Rattus norvegicus: one gene and its partner. The protein of the gene in region 1 interacts with the protein of each later gene in a pairwise test. Links are inferred from orthologs where the notes say so. Each region holds a gene or a part of one and is shown in the gene's direction. Other genes may lie near its edges. The genes, in order: Plin1 and Abhd5.

Region 1 (7,120 bases):
CTTGAGTGCACGGCAGTGTTTCACAGGTATCTGTTCTGGTACTGTGGATCCTACACATTAGAGAAGGTGTTGGGAGGGTGGAGGACTGCCATCTTCTAGAGTCTGTAAACCTCAGTGGGCCTCGCTACTTCATATCGTATGTCTCTCCTCAACCCTCTCTACCTGGGTCCACATTTATGAGAGGTTTCAAACACTGAAAAGCCCAGAGGGGCTGTGTAACTGGACTTGCGGCTAATTCGAGAGTTCTTTTTTTTTTTTTTTAAGATTTTTATTTATTTATTATATGTATGTACACTGTAGCTGTCTTCAGACACACCAGAAGAGGGCATCAGATCCCATTACAGATGGTTGTGAGCCACCATGTGGTTGCTGGGATTTGAACTCAGGATCTCTGGAAGAGCAGTCAGTGCTCTTAACCTCTGAGCCATCTCTCCAGCCCCGAGAGTTCTTTTCTTTTCCACACTTTTCCACCTCTCTTCTTCCCCTTCAACCCCCTAACACTGGGTAAGAGAGAAATAAATCCCCGAATAAAGTCAGGTAGGAAGAAGGGCAACCATATTATTAGACTGCTCCCTGCCGATTAGGGGCATTGAGTTCCTCAGGGTGTGTTTGATCTTCACCCAGGATATCTAACTTCTTCTTTTCGTCTCTTTGCACACAACTACTTGGCAAACCACAACCAACCATTCCCAACTGCAACCAGCAGCATCCAGGCATGAGGTAAATCATAGTCACCGGCTCTGAAGCAGCCCCAAATCCCCAAACCTGGGATTAAAAGGAAAATATTCCCGTACTATTCCTGTGGTTTTTAAAGAAACCAACACTGTCGACAAGACTGCACAGGGCAGCACACTGACAGTTGAGCATTGCTGCCGAGCACTGACTCAGCAGTGGGGACCCTGCTTGGCTTGGGGGCCCGCCTGTGCACAGAATGGCCAAGAGCCCTGCTCTCCTGTAGTGGAGGGAGGGGAGCTGCATGAGATAGCTCGTCTCCGCCCATCCCCCTATAGTTGGAGAGCTGCCTCTCCCCCTCCCCCTCAGGATTTGCCTGGTTCTTTCCCTGGTCACCTTTTACCCACATTCTAGAATCTGTACCGAAGCAGCCAAAGGACCAGCTTTGTCAGCAGAGCTTTTAGGCACAGTGCCCTGTATCCTCTCTGGCCCAGAGCCACTGCCCGGGGAAGACAGACTGTCCTTTAGCCTGGGCTGTGCCCAGATGCGAGCCTCCAGATCACCCGTCCTGAACCTTGAAGCAAAGGGAGAGGCCACTTTACACGCTTGCCGCCTCCTCCACTGCTGTAAGAAGACAGCAGCAGCTCAGACCAAGATTAAAAAGTATCCAATGCTGCACACATTCATTACCTCTTTTGGAAGCTCCTTGCTCCACACCCCTCCCTTTCCTGGCATCTTGTTCCCTGTTTTATTATATACTAAAGATAAAATTTACCACCAAGGATCTATCTGTAGCTGTTTCTCAGATCCTTATTACATTTATGCATGTGTTTGGATTATGTGTGTGGCATGTACTCTGACTTACACACACACACACACACACACACACACACACACACTTATACACGTGCTCAAATGTCACAGCATGCATATAGAGGTCAGAGGACATCTTGCCAGGGTTACTTCTGTCCTTCAACTTTGGGGGGCCCAGGGATTGAACTCAAGCGGTCAGGCTTGGTGGCAATCACCTTGACCTGCTGAGCCATTTTGGCGACCCTGCCCAGTGCCTTTCTATCCTGTTGCCCACACTAACAACTTAGTAGACTCAATAACATGCAAATCTGCTAAGTAGGGACTAACATTAATGCTGTGCTCTCATTCACTGTGATTAAGAGGTGTAAAGACACCGGTTGGCACCACAGTGTTCCATCAACTTTAATCAGGAACTAAGATTTGAGCTTGGCTTGAGTCCCTGTTTTTTTTTTTTTTTTTCCGGAGCTGAGGACCGAGCCCAGGGCCTTGCACTTGCTAGGCGAGCACTCTACCACTGAGCTAAATCCCCAACCCCCGAGTCCCTGTTGAGGAAGGAATGGCAGCAGATAGTTCTTGGCTGCCTAGGTGCTATTGGTTGGCAAAAACAACCAACCAAACAGCAAACAAACAAACCCAGCTTGTCAACACCTTTACTTGTCCAGACTTAGGTGAACAAAACCAAATAGTTTCGTCCCTCTTTCCCTCTCTCCCTCTCTCTGTTCCTCCTTCCCCCTTTCCTTTCCTCAGTGCTGAAGATCAAAACCAGAGCCCTCCACACACTAAACAAGCAAGCCCTCTGCCATGGTGCTCCACCCCCCAGCCCCTGAGACACAAGCTTGCTGTTCAGCTCAGGCTACCCTCAAACTGTCAGTTCCACCTCAGCCTCCTGCGTTCTGGGAGTTGTTCTGTGGCTCGTGCCATGGTATCCAGCTTCAAGAGGTTTTCTCTAGCTTTGGAGGTTTACAGAGGATGAAACTACTCCTCAGAACCCAGGTTGCTAAGAAGTCAACTCTCACTGCTCTATCTTGTCTCTCTTTTGGCCGGAAATTAATCTTGATAGCGGTAGACTAAACATTAAGGTGAACCCTATCCCTGTGTGGGTTTGAATCATGCCGTTCAATAGTCATCCTTGCTAGCAAACAAGAAAGGATGGGGTAATGATTGAATATTGTCCCATAAAAACTTCTCTGGAAAGGGACCAAAGATTATAGAATTACATGGAACTTTGAGTTTAGGAGTTTAATGAGCCACATTGCAGTGGCTTCTTTATGGAAAGCAATTTTTTTTTGTCAATTGAGAGCCAGAAATATTCTGGAACTACCATCTCTGGGCTCTGACAAATGAGTCCTTCAGCCCTGAGAACCACCTCTTTATTGGCTAAGTATCCTCCATAGAAGTTAGGGTGAGCCCAGGGGACACCCTGGCTCAGACAGCTATGGTGACGGGCTGGCCCAGCTTTCTCTTCCTCTTTGCCCTCCTCCAGCTGGGAGGTCTGAGAGGCATTGCCCAAGATTCCCTGGAGTGGCTGGAAGTGTTTCTGGGGAGGAGACCATCCACAGCTGGGTTGTCTGAGATTGAGGTGGCTCTCAGCTGCAGTGAGTGTAGGGTCCTTGGGTGTCTGCCTTACCTGGTTGCTTTCTCAGTGTTAAAGGCAAGGAGCTGGGAGAGAGAGCATCTGGGGAAATTACCAAGGGATGCAGAGATCTGCAGGGAGAGCCCTGAGGAAAAGAATAAAAGACCAGGGGCACAGGGGGACCATTGGCTTACCCAGAAGACAGCTCTTTGCGAGAAGGCTTAACTTAGCTGGCAATAGAGGGAAACAGGGGTTAACTAGAATTTTGTTGTGAAGAAAAGACTAAACTCTACCCAACACTCATTCTTTAGTCTCTTTCAGTGTCTCTTTTTAAGAGTCCCAGATTTTGTTCTAAACTGTTTCTCCCATCTCATTCTCTTTGTCTAATTGCCTCCATTTTCATCTACCTTGAGCCCTTTAAAAAAAGATCACTTTTGAGCTCATTTTGGGCAGACTGGGGGACTTGTGTTGGGACTCCAAGGAGCAGCCTTTCCTAGATGATATTTGCCCTCCAACCTAGGCCAGCTGAGCTCAGGATGGCTGGAGGACAGCTGTGAGAGGTAGGGAGGGAACCCATGGAATACAAGCCTGCCGGCTTCTGATGGATCTGGGATTCTGCTTTGCAGTGTGAAGAGTAAGGATGTCCATGAACAAGGGCCCGACCCTGCTGGATGGAGACCTCCCTGTAAGTGACCTGGACTCCTGTGAGGTGGGGAATGGGCCACCAAAGGGGGAGGGATGAACAAGTAAGATGTCTGTCTACCTTAGGTTCCGAACTCAGTGTCTCTGTTATTCCTGTCCTTGCCACCTTTCACGGGTGTTTGGGAGAACGGAGGGGAGAAGAGGTGGCTATAGAAGTCTAAGAACTGTGGAGAAAAGAATAGGAATGCGGGCTGGGGCCTCAGGAGAGACAAGGGGAAGAAACCTCCTGGTCCTAAACCCAGAAGAGTGTGCATGTCCTAGAGAGTCCATTGTTCTGTGGCTTCAGCTTGAGCCCGTGACCCTCATCTGCAGCACGAAGCCTGTGCGACCATGCGTGGGAATGAATTGGAAGTTTAGTGTGTCCAGTTTTTATCTCTAGCCCTGGTTTTGAGTAATTCTGATACTTTTATGTGTTCTTGATATCTTTTGCCTCTTTGCTTTGGGCTGAGTTCAGATAGTGAAATTCAGGCATGTGACCCTGGAGGAGATGAAACTCATTCTATTAGGATCTAACTAAGCTCCGCACTAGGGGCGACTGCCTTGTTTTGTACTGAATCAAGAGAGAGGTGTCAGTGGGTCACAAGAAACCTTAACCCTTCTAACTAACGATTAGTGGTTTCTTCCATTTCCCTCTCGTTTCTCCTTTAGCTTTGTCCGAAACAAGCCTTGAATGCTCTGCCCAAAACGTTGAAGAGGGTGTTTCCTTTTGTAGTCAGAATCCCTTTCTCCCTCTGATATCTGACTCGCTTGCAGGATGAAAAGCTAAAATCGTGTGGGCTGCTTTGTTCAGGAGCCCAGGCAGCCTTCCCTGATGGCTCTGTTAACTCCTCCTGCAAGTAGGGTAGCATCTACGGCAAACTACAGTAAAGATTAAGAGAGCTCAAGGCAGTATCCTAGAGCATTATAGCCTCCACTGAATGTTGTTTCCTACCCCACGACGAGAATCACTCTCTCACTCACAGATTGGGCCTTTCTAAAATCTAATCATGCAAGTGCTGACAAAGCAAAATGCTTTGATAACATAGCATCCAAATAAGAAGAGATGTCCACACCACGTCCCACAGGACCAGGCTCATCGGACTATCAGCTTAAACATGGAGTGTTGTATTTTAACGAAGGCCATGCCAAATTTTAGAGTGTCAAGAGGAAAGGATCGCAGGTCTGTCCAGTGACCCATTTATAAACTAAGACAGGAACTGGCCAGGCGGTGGTGGTGCATGCCTTTAGCCCTAACACTTGGGAGGCAAAGGCAGAAAGATCTCTGTGAGTTTAAGGCCAGCCTGGTCTATACAGTGAATTCCAGGACAGCCAGAGCTACACAGTGAGACCCTGTATCAAAACAGGTACTGGGGACTAGCGGCCATTCTCCTGGGAGAAAGGTAACCAGAGCAGGGTGGCAGAGGAAGACAGCCCAAGGGCAGACATAATCATAAAGGCAGAGAGCCAAAAATTGGTCCTAGCGGCACACGACACAGGCTTTTAATCCCATCACTGGGAGTTCAAGGTCATCCTCAACTATATATATAGAGTTCAAGGCTATCCAGGGTTACAAGAGATGTGCACCACCTGTCTCACAGAGGAGGTCATAGAAGAGAATAATATTCTATTACACCAAAAGGGATGGGGGAGGGGAGGAGAGCCTATTTGGCAGTGGTCCAGCATCCAGACGCAGGTCCAGCATCTCAGAAGGACCTTGAAAATGTTTAGATGAAGATATGAGTTGAAGGTGGACTAAACTTCCCAAGCATTATCTTTCTCTCTGTAGTCAGTCAAGAGGGATGAGTTGGGAGGAGATGGGATTTGGCTTGGTTCCCAGAGAACACGGATTGCTTGAGAATTTCTCCAGAGTCCAGGAAGGCATAGCAGGCTGGGTCCCATGTTTTCTGTTGGCTTCCTCGTGCTCTCATGAGCAGGCCATTTGGAGATACGTTGCTTCCTTTAGACTTGGGCTGGCCTCGATAACGTGACCCTTGCATGGTTCTAGCAAGGGTCAGCTCTCTGGGAGGTAGAGTGGGGGTGGGAGTATCTGACTCTTTCTTTGCTGACAGGAACAGGAGAATGTGCTCCAGAGAGTCCTGCAGCTGCCTGTGGTGAGCGGGACCTGTGAGTGCTTCCAGAAGACCTATAACAGCACCAAAGAAGCCCACCCCCTGGTGGCCTCTGTGTGCAATGCCTATGAGAAGGGTGTACAGGGTGCCAGCAACCTGGCTGCCTGGAGCATGGAGCCGGTGGTCCGCCGGCTCTCCACCCAGTGTGAGTCCTCAGAGAACTCCGTGGCATCCTGCCCGTCCACTGATACTCCCCGCATGTCTGCCTGTCTGCTTGTCAGTCTGTCTGATCATCTCACAACTCATTTGTCCACCTCCCTGACTCCTTCCCTTGCTTATCTATATCCAACTTCCTGGTCTTCTCCGCTACAGACATATGTCTATATTTGCCTCAGTTGTAGCCCAGCCTAACAGCCAAAAAATGCTAGGGGGTTGAGGGAGTAAGAGAGGGGGAAGGTGAGCAACGATCTGTGAGCAGCGGTGAGAGTAGGGCCAGTGGCAGGACATTTAGCCACCCCAACTCCATATGCAAGAAAAGCAGCAGTATCCCGAACCAGCAGAATCTCGCGCGAAAACTGGCCTAGCAGCGCTGAAGGTTCAGGGATAGAGAAGGCCCACTCATCCAGCTGCTGCTGATACTGGTTCCCGACAGGTGGGGGCAGCAGAGAGCGACTGGCGGCAGAAACAAGGGTCCATCCAGGCTCGCCTCATCAGGCTCGCCCCATCTGCGTCATTCTGCCTCCATCTGAAAGTATGGTTTCTAAGACTTATTTTGGCAGGGCTGAGGGAACTCTCAGCAGCACCGAGAAATCTAGCACCTTCTATCATCCTGATAGAGGCTTGCGGGTAATGTGAGGATTCTACCCAGCAACCAGGTAAAGAAGACTTTAAGGCTCCACTTAAAATCTGTGGTCACATAGATGGCCCTGGCTGAATTCTGTGAGCGATAAAACAAAACGAAATGATAAGAACATGAGACACGAACATAGGGGTTGACAGAAGTGGGAGGGGGATTGAGAAGACGCAGGGATAAGAGTAGAAAATACACCACATGCGTGAATACGGTTGTCCAAGAAAAAGTACATTCAATTACTGATAAGATAATAAAAATGTCTCAGGCCCTAGGCTAGCCCTCCCAAAAGCCTTCATTCTGTTCAACCAAAAGACAGCCAAGTCCTCTGGGCTTTTTGTTACTTGAAAGAAATATGAAAGAGTGTCTATAAATACCCTTTGAATCTGTGCCTTCCATGGCCTTGACCACAGAGCCTGCATCCTCAGCAGACCGTGGGCAGTCTCCCCTGACACGTCTGCA
Region 2 (7,293 bases), on another chromosome or scaffold:
ACCCCGAACCCAAACACACGCTCATAAAGTCAGTATGATGATTTCTACGAAGCTGCCACCACTGGAGAAAGTCCGAGAACTGGGCTGGAGAGATGGCTCAGAGGTTGAGAGCACTGGCTGCTCTTCCAGAGGCCCTGAGTTCAATTCCCAGCAACCACATGGTGGTTCACAACCATCTGTAATGAGATCTGACACCTTCTTCTGGTGTGTCTGAAGACGGCTACAGTGTACTCACATACATAAATCTTAAAAAAAAATTGAGAACTACAGGGAGTGGGTCTCAGAGATGGGAAAAAAAGATTGCAGTGAGGGAGGAAAGCCAGAAGTTTAAATATGTCCCCAGCGTTCTCATACTGGAAGCTCAACCCATGTAGTGGTATTGAAAGGCGAGCCCTAAGGGCAGAATTTGGGCCACAGTGATGCTCCTTTCATGCATCAATTAATGCCTTCATCTTGGGAGTCAGTTTTGGGGGAGTAGGTTTCTTATTGGGCCCCTTTCTTGCTGTATTTGCCATGAGATGAACAGCAAAGGCCCTCGTTGTATACCACAGAAGCATGGCAGTCCTCACAGCCCCCAGCACCACGAGAGACAAACCTGTCTGTTGTAAATGACTCGTCGAGGTGTTCCTCTACAGCGGCTAACGTGGTCTAAGATGGAGAAAGATGATGGGGTCTTAAATAAAGGGTAGCATGGGCTTCATGAAGGCCAGAGTCCTGTCATCCCAGCCTCAACACACTGCGGTTACAGAGTAAGGGTATGCTAACTGTGGGTAAGTATGTGGGAGTGAATACATCCTCACAAGTAGGTAGAAGCTGATGATTGGAGAAAGGTAATTTTAAATTAAAGTAATGAAGGGAATAAAAACGTTGATATTTACATCATCCATTTGCCTCCCCCCCCCAAAAAAAATCCAGAGGGTAGCGGGAGTGTTTCTGTTCAAACCCATATCCGCACACCTGCCCTTTGTTAGATCTCTGTGAAAGGGGCGCGCCACACATTTGTGGCCTCATTAGAATGATTTGGGGGCTCGAGTGATGGCTCAGCGGTTAAGAGCACTGACTGATCTTCCCAAGGTCCTGAGTTCAATTCCCAGCAACCACATGGTGGCTCACAGCCATCTGTAATGGGATCCAACGCCCTCTCTGGTGTGTCTGAAGATAGTTACAGTGTACTCATATATGAAATAAATAAATCTTTAAAAAAGAATGATTTGAAAACTCAGTCAGCGTACATCAGGCTCCTGAGCAGCCCCAGGCATCAGTAGCACCCAGGTGTGGCTGAACTAAGGAACCTATTACATATTCTCAGAAGTTCACTTTTTGGGGCACGGGGATAAGGGAGGTAATGAGAATTGGACCTAGGAACTGATGCATAGAGGGCCCACTGAGCTACACAGCCCTAGCTTTGAGCAGCTCATCAGGAGCACAAAGAGCTAGGCTACCTCATACCACTTTCTCCTGACCCGAGGGACCTGCCCCCAGCCAAGGGAAACATCCCTTATGCAACACTAGGATGCCTATATTGTTTAATCACAGTGAGTGTCATGGTTCCAAATTCTATTTTTAAAACACAGCCTTGGACTTAAACACTAGCCTTGCTAGCTGCCGGCTTCTATTTTCCTGTGCTGAGCTTCCCTCTCTGTCACTTTCACTCACTCGCCAACGTCCCTGAGCCAGAAAAGAATTAAAATAATCCCATGTGGGGTGGTGGTGGTGGTTTATGGTTTTAAAAAGATTTGTTTTTTTAGAATTATGTTTATGTGTGTGCCTGCTTGTCTGTATGTGCATATACATTAAGGTGCTCCGAGGTGAAGAGGGTGTTGCTCCTCTGGAACTGGTGTTACAAGCAGTTGTGGGGGCTGCACAAGGATGCTGGAAATAGACTCCATTCTCCTCTATAAGGACAGTATGCTCCCTCAACCACGGAGCCATCCCTCGAGCCCCGTCCCCTTTACATTTATTTATTTTAAAGACAGGGTCTCACTGTGTAGCTCTGGCTGGCCTGGAACTCTCTATGTAGATCAGGTTGGTCCAACTCACAGAAATGTGCTCGCCTCCAACTCCCAAGTGTTGTTGTGAAGGGCATGTACCATCACGTCCAGCTCACGAGAATATTTATTTGAGAATATTTTATGAGCCCTCAGACCTCTATCATTTCAGAATGGATTCTAGGAAGCTTCTCCCCCCGCACCCCTCCCGCGATCATGGTGGGTGGTAATGGTGTGTGTGTGTGTGTGTGTGTGTAATTCTAGTACCTACACATATGCTCTCAGACTTCTCATGTCTAGAGTCTGGCAGCGGGGAGTGCAGGTTAGGGTCAGAGCAGTGTCCACTCAGACTGCGGTTGGACTGTAGGGTCCAGTGAGCCGCCCTCTCCCAGTGGCCACCTCCTGAAAGGAAGGGCTGGAGGGGCCACCACCACGCTGAGGATGCGCACCTCTGCCTTGTGTCTCGGACTCAGGCTGTCTCTGGCTGGCATCTCACTTCAGGCTGTGGATGGCTTGCCTAGAGCGCCGTCCAGGGCAGTCCGGCCCGGCGGAATGACGCATTAATGGTCATTATTCTGATGGATGACTACCTAGGCTCCCGCGGCGTCGGGCTGACCTTCCTAACCAGTGCCCCCGCCTCCGCGCGACAGGCGACAGGCGGGCAGCGCATGCGTATCTGTGAGGCCCGGCTGCAGGGACGCCGAGCCTGCCGTGGCGCGGCCGCGCCCTCGGATCGTCCCGGCGCGCGGCCGACGCATGCGCGGGCGGCGCGGTCTTAAGGGCGGCCGCGGCCGGGGGCCGCCCAGTCGGCCTGTCAGCCGGCTTCGAGGTGCCTTCCTGCGCTTGCGCGGCGGCAGTGATGAAAGCGATGGCGGCGGAGGAGGAGGTGGACTCGGCAGACGCCGGTGGAGGGTGAGGATCACCCGGGAAGGGGGACGGCGTGGGTCTCGTGCGCTCTGGCGACCCCGGGCGGCCAGCCGAGGGAAGGCGCGGGCGTCCGCTCTCCCGGTCCGTCGGGGCTGACAGGCAGCGCCCGGGCCGCGGGGCTACGGGGAGGGAGGGCGGCCGTCCGGGCGGTCCGGAGCTCGGCGGAGCTCGGAACTCCGCGCCGGGTCCCGGCCGCCTTCCCTGGACGCGTGAGCTGGGCGTCGCCAGGGTGGGAGTAGGCGTCGGACGCGGAGTCCCTCGGGACGGCCGTCCGTCGGCGGTGTGGGAGCTCAGGACCCGGGGCGCTCGCGTCCCACCTCCCGCTGCCTTGTGCGCTCCCGTGACCCGGCGGTCTGGCTTCATTAGAAAAGTCGGCTGGAGTCTTCTCGGCAGCAAACTTTGTGAAAGTTGAAGGGCAGATGCCTAACAGGAAGCCCTTTAAGTTTTTGTTTTGTTTTGTTTTGTTTGTTTGAAAACCGGGGTCGCTCAGTGTTTGCCCTGGCTGGCCTGGAAATCTGTAGACCAGGCTTGTTTCAGATCTACAGAGACCCAATCCCTTTGCCTCAGCTGCCCAGTGCTGGGATCACAGGTGGGAACCACCATACCCAACTTTTTGATAGACATCTTAAGTTATTCTTTTCTGTCTGTCTTTGATATAACGTGTCCTTGTGAGTAGAATAATGCTTGGTGGAAAAGTTAAATTACTATGGAAGTTTTATTTCACTATGATCCTCAGAAGGCTACTTGTTTTGTATGGACAGGACTATACTTATAAATTAAGTACTTTCACAAGTTCTACTTCAGCTAGTTGGAGACATTTGCATAGGGAAAATAGATTCTGGTAATGTGAAAGCCAAGTATTTTGGAAAGATGTTAGGGGAGGAATATTTTGAAACATTAGAAACTACACTCTCCAAGTTTTGTTTAAGTGATAACTAACAGGTGGAGCTCACTGCTTTGGTCTGTTGTTGAACTTCCTAATTACATTGATATGAAATACAGAGTGTCGTGTGGTACAACCAGGACCTGTGTTTCTATTAAATTTGCCAAGACATTTTCTGGCTCCGAGAGTTCTAACTTGTGGGCCCTTTTGGTCTTGATACCGTGAGACTCAGGAATTGTGAGGCTCAGGAATCCGTAGCACGACAGTAAGAGTGACAGAGCATGGGTGATGGCTGGAGGTCACTGAGGGCAAGACTGGCCACAGTCCCTAGACAGAGGTAGACCTCCCTGGTATTTTTGGCAGGACCCTGGAGCAGTGCTGCACAACCAAGCAAGCAGAGAGAAGGCTAGGTTCCTGCTGGGTGCTCCATCAGTGTGGACATGATAGTCCTAGAGTCTCCCTGGTGTGGGGAATCTGACCACTCCCATTTTCATCTGGAGTTGCCACCTCCGAGTAGCAGAGCTAATTGGAGCCTACCTGCTTCTTCAGGTGTCTAAATTGAGCTTTAAGGCGTTTCCCTCACATTTCTTTCTAACTTTATACACATGGGGAGATGATGTTAATAAAGCAAGCCATTATAAGCTGCCAGCTTACAGCGTTTTGGAGCATATAATTCTTCCCCTTTGTGGCTCTTCGTGGAGACAAGTTTACTGGGAAGCTTTCAAAATCCTATCCCTTTCAGTTGCAATACAGTTGAGAAAGCCAAATATAACAAGAATAGGGTAGATTTCTGGGGATTGCTTTAATGATATCCCAGAGAGTTATGTACTGGTAGAGTGTGGGGGAAAACGCCATCACAGAAATTCACCATTCAGAGTAGACCAAGAACCTTTGTGGTTTTCAGGGCATGCTGGAGTTGATCTGTACCATTGCTGAATGTTCAGGAATTCTACAGCACCAGCATCCTGAAACCAGCCACCGTGGGAGTATTTATACCATGGAAAATCATACTTTATTAAGTAAGACCGATTTCTCTCTACTGCCTCAGTTGATTTTCCAGCATCCTGCTGGATATGTGTTAAAGTCTCTGTATGTTCCTGTGCTTTGGAGATTAAAGATGAACTTCTTTATTGTACCTCCTAAAACACTAAGATTTATACATTTCTCCTGCTGCTACTGCTCTGTAATCCTTGCCCCAAGACTTTAAAAATCATGAAATTCTTCAATACTAATCCCAATGCCTGTGCTTATTTGCTACTCTTTCACACACACACAGAAACACACCTCTCATACTCTCATACTCTCATACACACACACACACACACACACACACACACCCTGATCTCAAGACCTCATGTGAGCATTGTGCCACTGAGCTACATCCCCCAGCCCTCTTGTGTCCTCTTCAGTGATCAGTACTATAGAGAATCTCTTATTTAGACAGCTAACTCATACTTGTTTACTCTCTTAACCGAGACCGGTAATTAGTTTTATTAGGTTCTATTCTTTTAATTATTTTCTAAATACAAGAATTCCCCATGAGCGTATTATAGTCTTTTTATTTTTTTTTAATTTATGAACAGTTCTTGAACTATCTTTTCTTTGAAGAACTGAGATCTCATTCTCTTCTGGACTGGAGTAAGGGTACTGTTTGTGTTTGCCAGCTGTTTGTATCTACTTTTTCACATTCAACATGGTTAGGCCATACCTTACTTATGTCTTCCTTCCTTTAATCAGTGTAAAGTGCACAGCTCACTCCTCTACTCTTTTTTGAAGGCAGTTGCATTCTTCTGGTTATCTACACTCTTAGAACTGGCTTCTGTCAGATTTGTTCCCTTTGTTGCCTCTGGATAGCAAATCAATTATCAAGTCCCCATAGAGTCTAACAACCTGCCCTTTCTCGTTCCACTACTACCCAGGAGCCACCTACTTCAAACACTCTTGTTCTTTCCTAGGGCATTTGTAGGGTTGGTAACACCATTGCCCGTAGCTCATTTTTTTACTTCCTTTGTTAGTTACGGTTTGTCCCCAGCCTGACTGCAAAGCCATTTGGAATCTGTGTGGCTTCCACTTAGGTCTGTGCACCTGACTCTAACTCTGGAAAGCCATATTCTCATGCTTACTAAACACATTCCTTGCTTCCCTTTGTTTTCCTTTGTTTTCTGTAACCCAACATTGATTGTTATCTTCTTTATATAAGGTCATGGTATTTTGTATGTTGGTGTGATGCACGCATGTGTGTGTGCGTGTGTGTGTGTGTGTGTGTGTGTGTGTGTGTGTGCGTGCGTGTGTGCTGCATGTGGAAGCCAGATGAGGAAGGGCAGCCAGGCAGGTTACTCTCTGCCTTACTCCTGAGGCACAGGGTCTCTCACTAGGCCTGAAGCTTGCTGTTCTGGAGAGTCCGGCTCCTGGGATGCTAGGACGTGTCTCCTCACATGGGTACTAGGATCTGAACTCAGGTCCTCATGTTTGTACAGCAAGTGTTTTTTACCCATTGAGTGATCTCCTCAGCCCGCATGGCATTTCTTAAGTTTTTTGAAGTTGTGGCCTTGGACTTTTGAGCTTTCTGCCTCTACTTCCCAAGTGGCAGGATCGCGGCCATGCACCACCACAACCAGCTCTGAAGCTGCTTTGTCTCACATAGATTCTATTTAATAATACACTTATTTATATACTTATTTTTGTCAGATCAGAACAAAGCTTTTGTTTATTCAAATGTTTGGCAGAGTCCAAAGGGGCTTTATAAATGGTAATCCTCAATTTCTTATTAAACCTTTGGCATTTGGGAATGTTTGTGTTGGAATAGATCAACAATTAGAATCAGACATCTAAACTTCCCGGGGATATTGGAAACAGGATTCTATTTCTTGACCTAACATGAACCAACCCCTGGCCCTCTGTTCCTGCACCCCAGAGTGGGTCTGCAGTCACAGACCAGCAAATGCAGATATCAATCCTGTGACAAAAAACAACGCTTATAAAAATCATGGTGGGCCACACAATCAGAATGTGTGCTTCAGGACCCAAAGATTGATCCATACTACTTAACACCTGTCCTGAAGCTTCATGTGCTTCAAGAGCAGCCTTGACTAATTGTTAAGTGTTGTGTTAAACTTAATGCCCTGATTGAGTTAGAGAGAATGTGGATAAATACTCTTCAGAACTGACTTAAGGAGATGTTTCTCCGACTGTAGAGCAGTGAGTATGAATGCCCACACAGAACTGCTTCACGTGTGCTTGACTCTCCTGTGTGAGGGATGGTGGGAAATGCCACAGAGAGGATATGCGTGTATGCCTATGCTTGTGGGTTTGTAAACTCTTGGTTTTATAAGAACGTATCTCTGTATTGCCTTGACTGCTCTCAAAATCTCAATTTTTCTACTTGAGCCTACAGAGTGCTGGCATTACAAGCCTGAGTCACACCACTCAGCTTTTAAAAGATTCTAAATTAACATATAGGTGTATTAGAGGGCAAGTGCTGTCATGGATGTAACG

The links.
Region 2: the proteins of Plin1 (region 1) and Abhd5 interact in a protein complementation assay, tested with the Homo sapiens proteins (3 studies listed by BioGRID, with this or other methods). The link is inferred for Rattus norvegicus from reciprocal best matches to the Homo sapiens genes PLIN1 and ABHD5.

The regions. Positions count from the first base shown.
Region 1 is NC_086019.1:143,082,093-143,089,212, reverse strand, and holds the start of Plin1 (perilipin-1), read left to right. Parts: upstream 1-3,064; 5' UTR 3,065-3,080; exon of another isoform or gene 3,081-3,136; intron 3,137-3,684; 5' UTR 3,685-3,698; coding exon 3,699-3,743; intron 3,744-5,808; coding exon 5,809-6,013; intron 6,014-7,120. UniProt on the Homo sapiens protein: Modulator of adipocyte lipid metabolism. Coats lipid storage droplets to protect them from breakdown by hormone-sensitive lipase (HSL). Its absence may result in leanness. Plays a role in unilocular lipid droplet formation by activating CIDEC.
Region 2 is NC_086026.1:130,875,065-130,882,357, forward strand, and holds the start of Abhd5 (1-acylglycerol-3-phosphate O-acyltransferase ABHD5), read left to right. Parts: upstream 1-2,807; 5' UTR 2,808-2,847; coding exon 2,848-2,900; intron 2,901-3,091; exon of another isoform or gene 3,092-3,504; intron 3,505-4,702; exon of another isoform or gene 4,703-4,817; intron 4,818-7,293. UniProt on the Homo sapiens protein: Coenzyme A-dependent lysophosphatidic acid acyltransferase that catalyzes the transfer of an acyl group on a lysophosphatidic acid.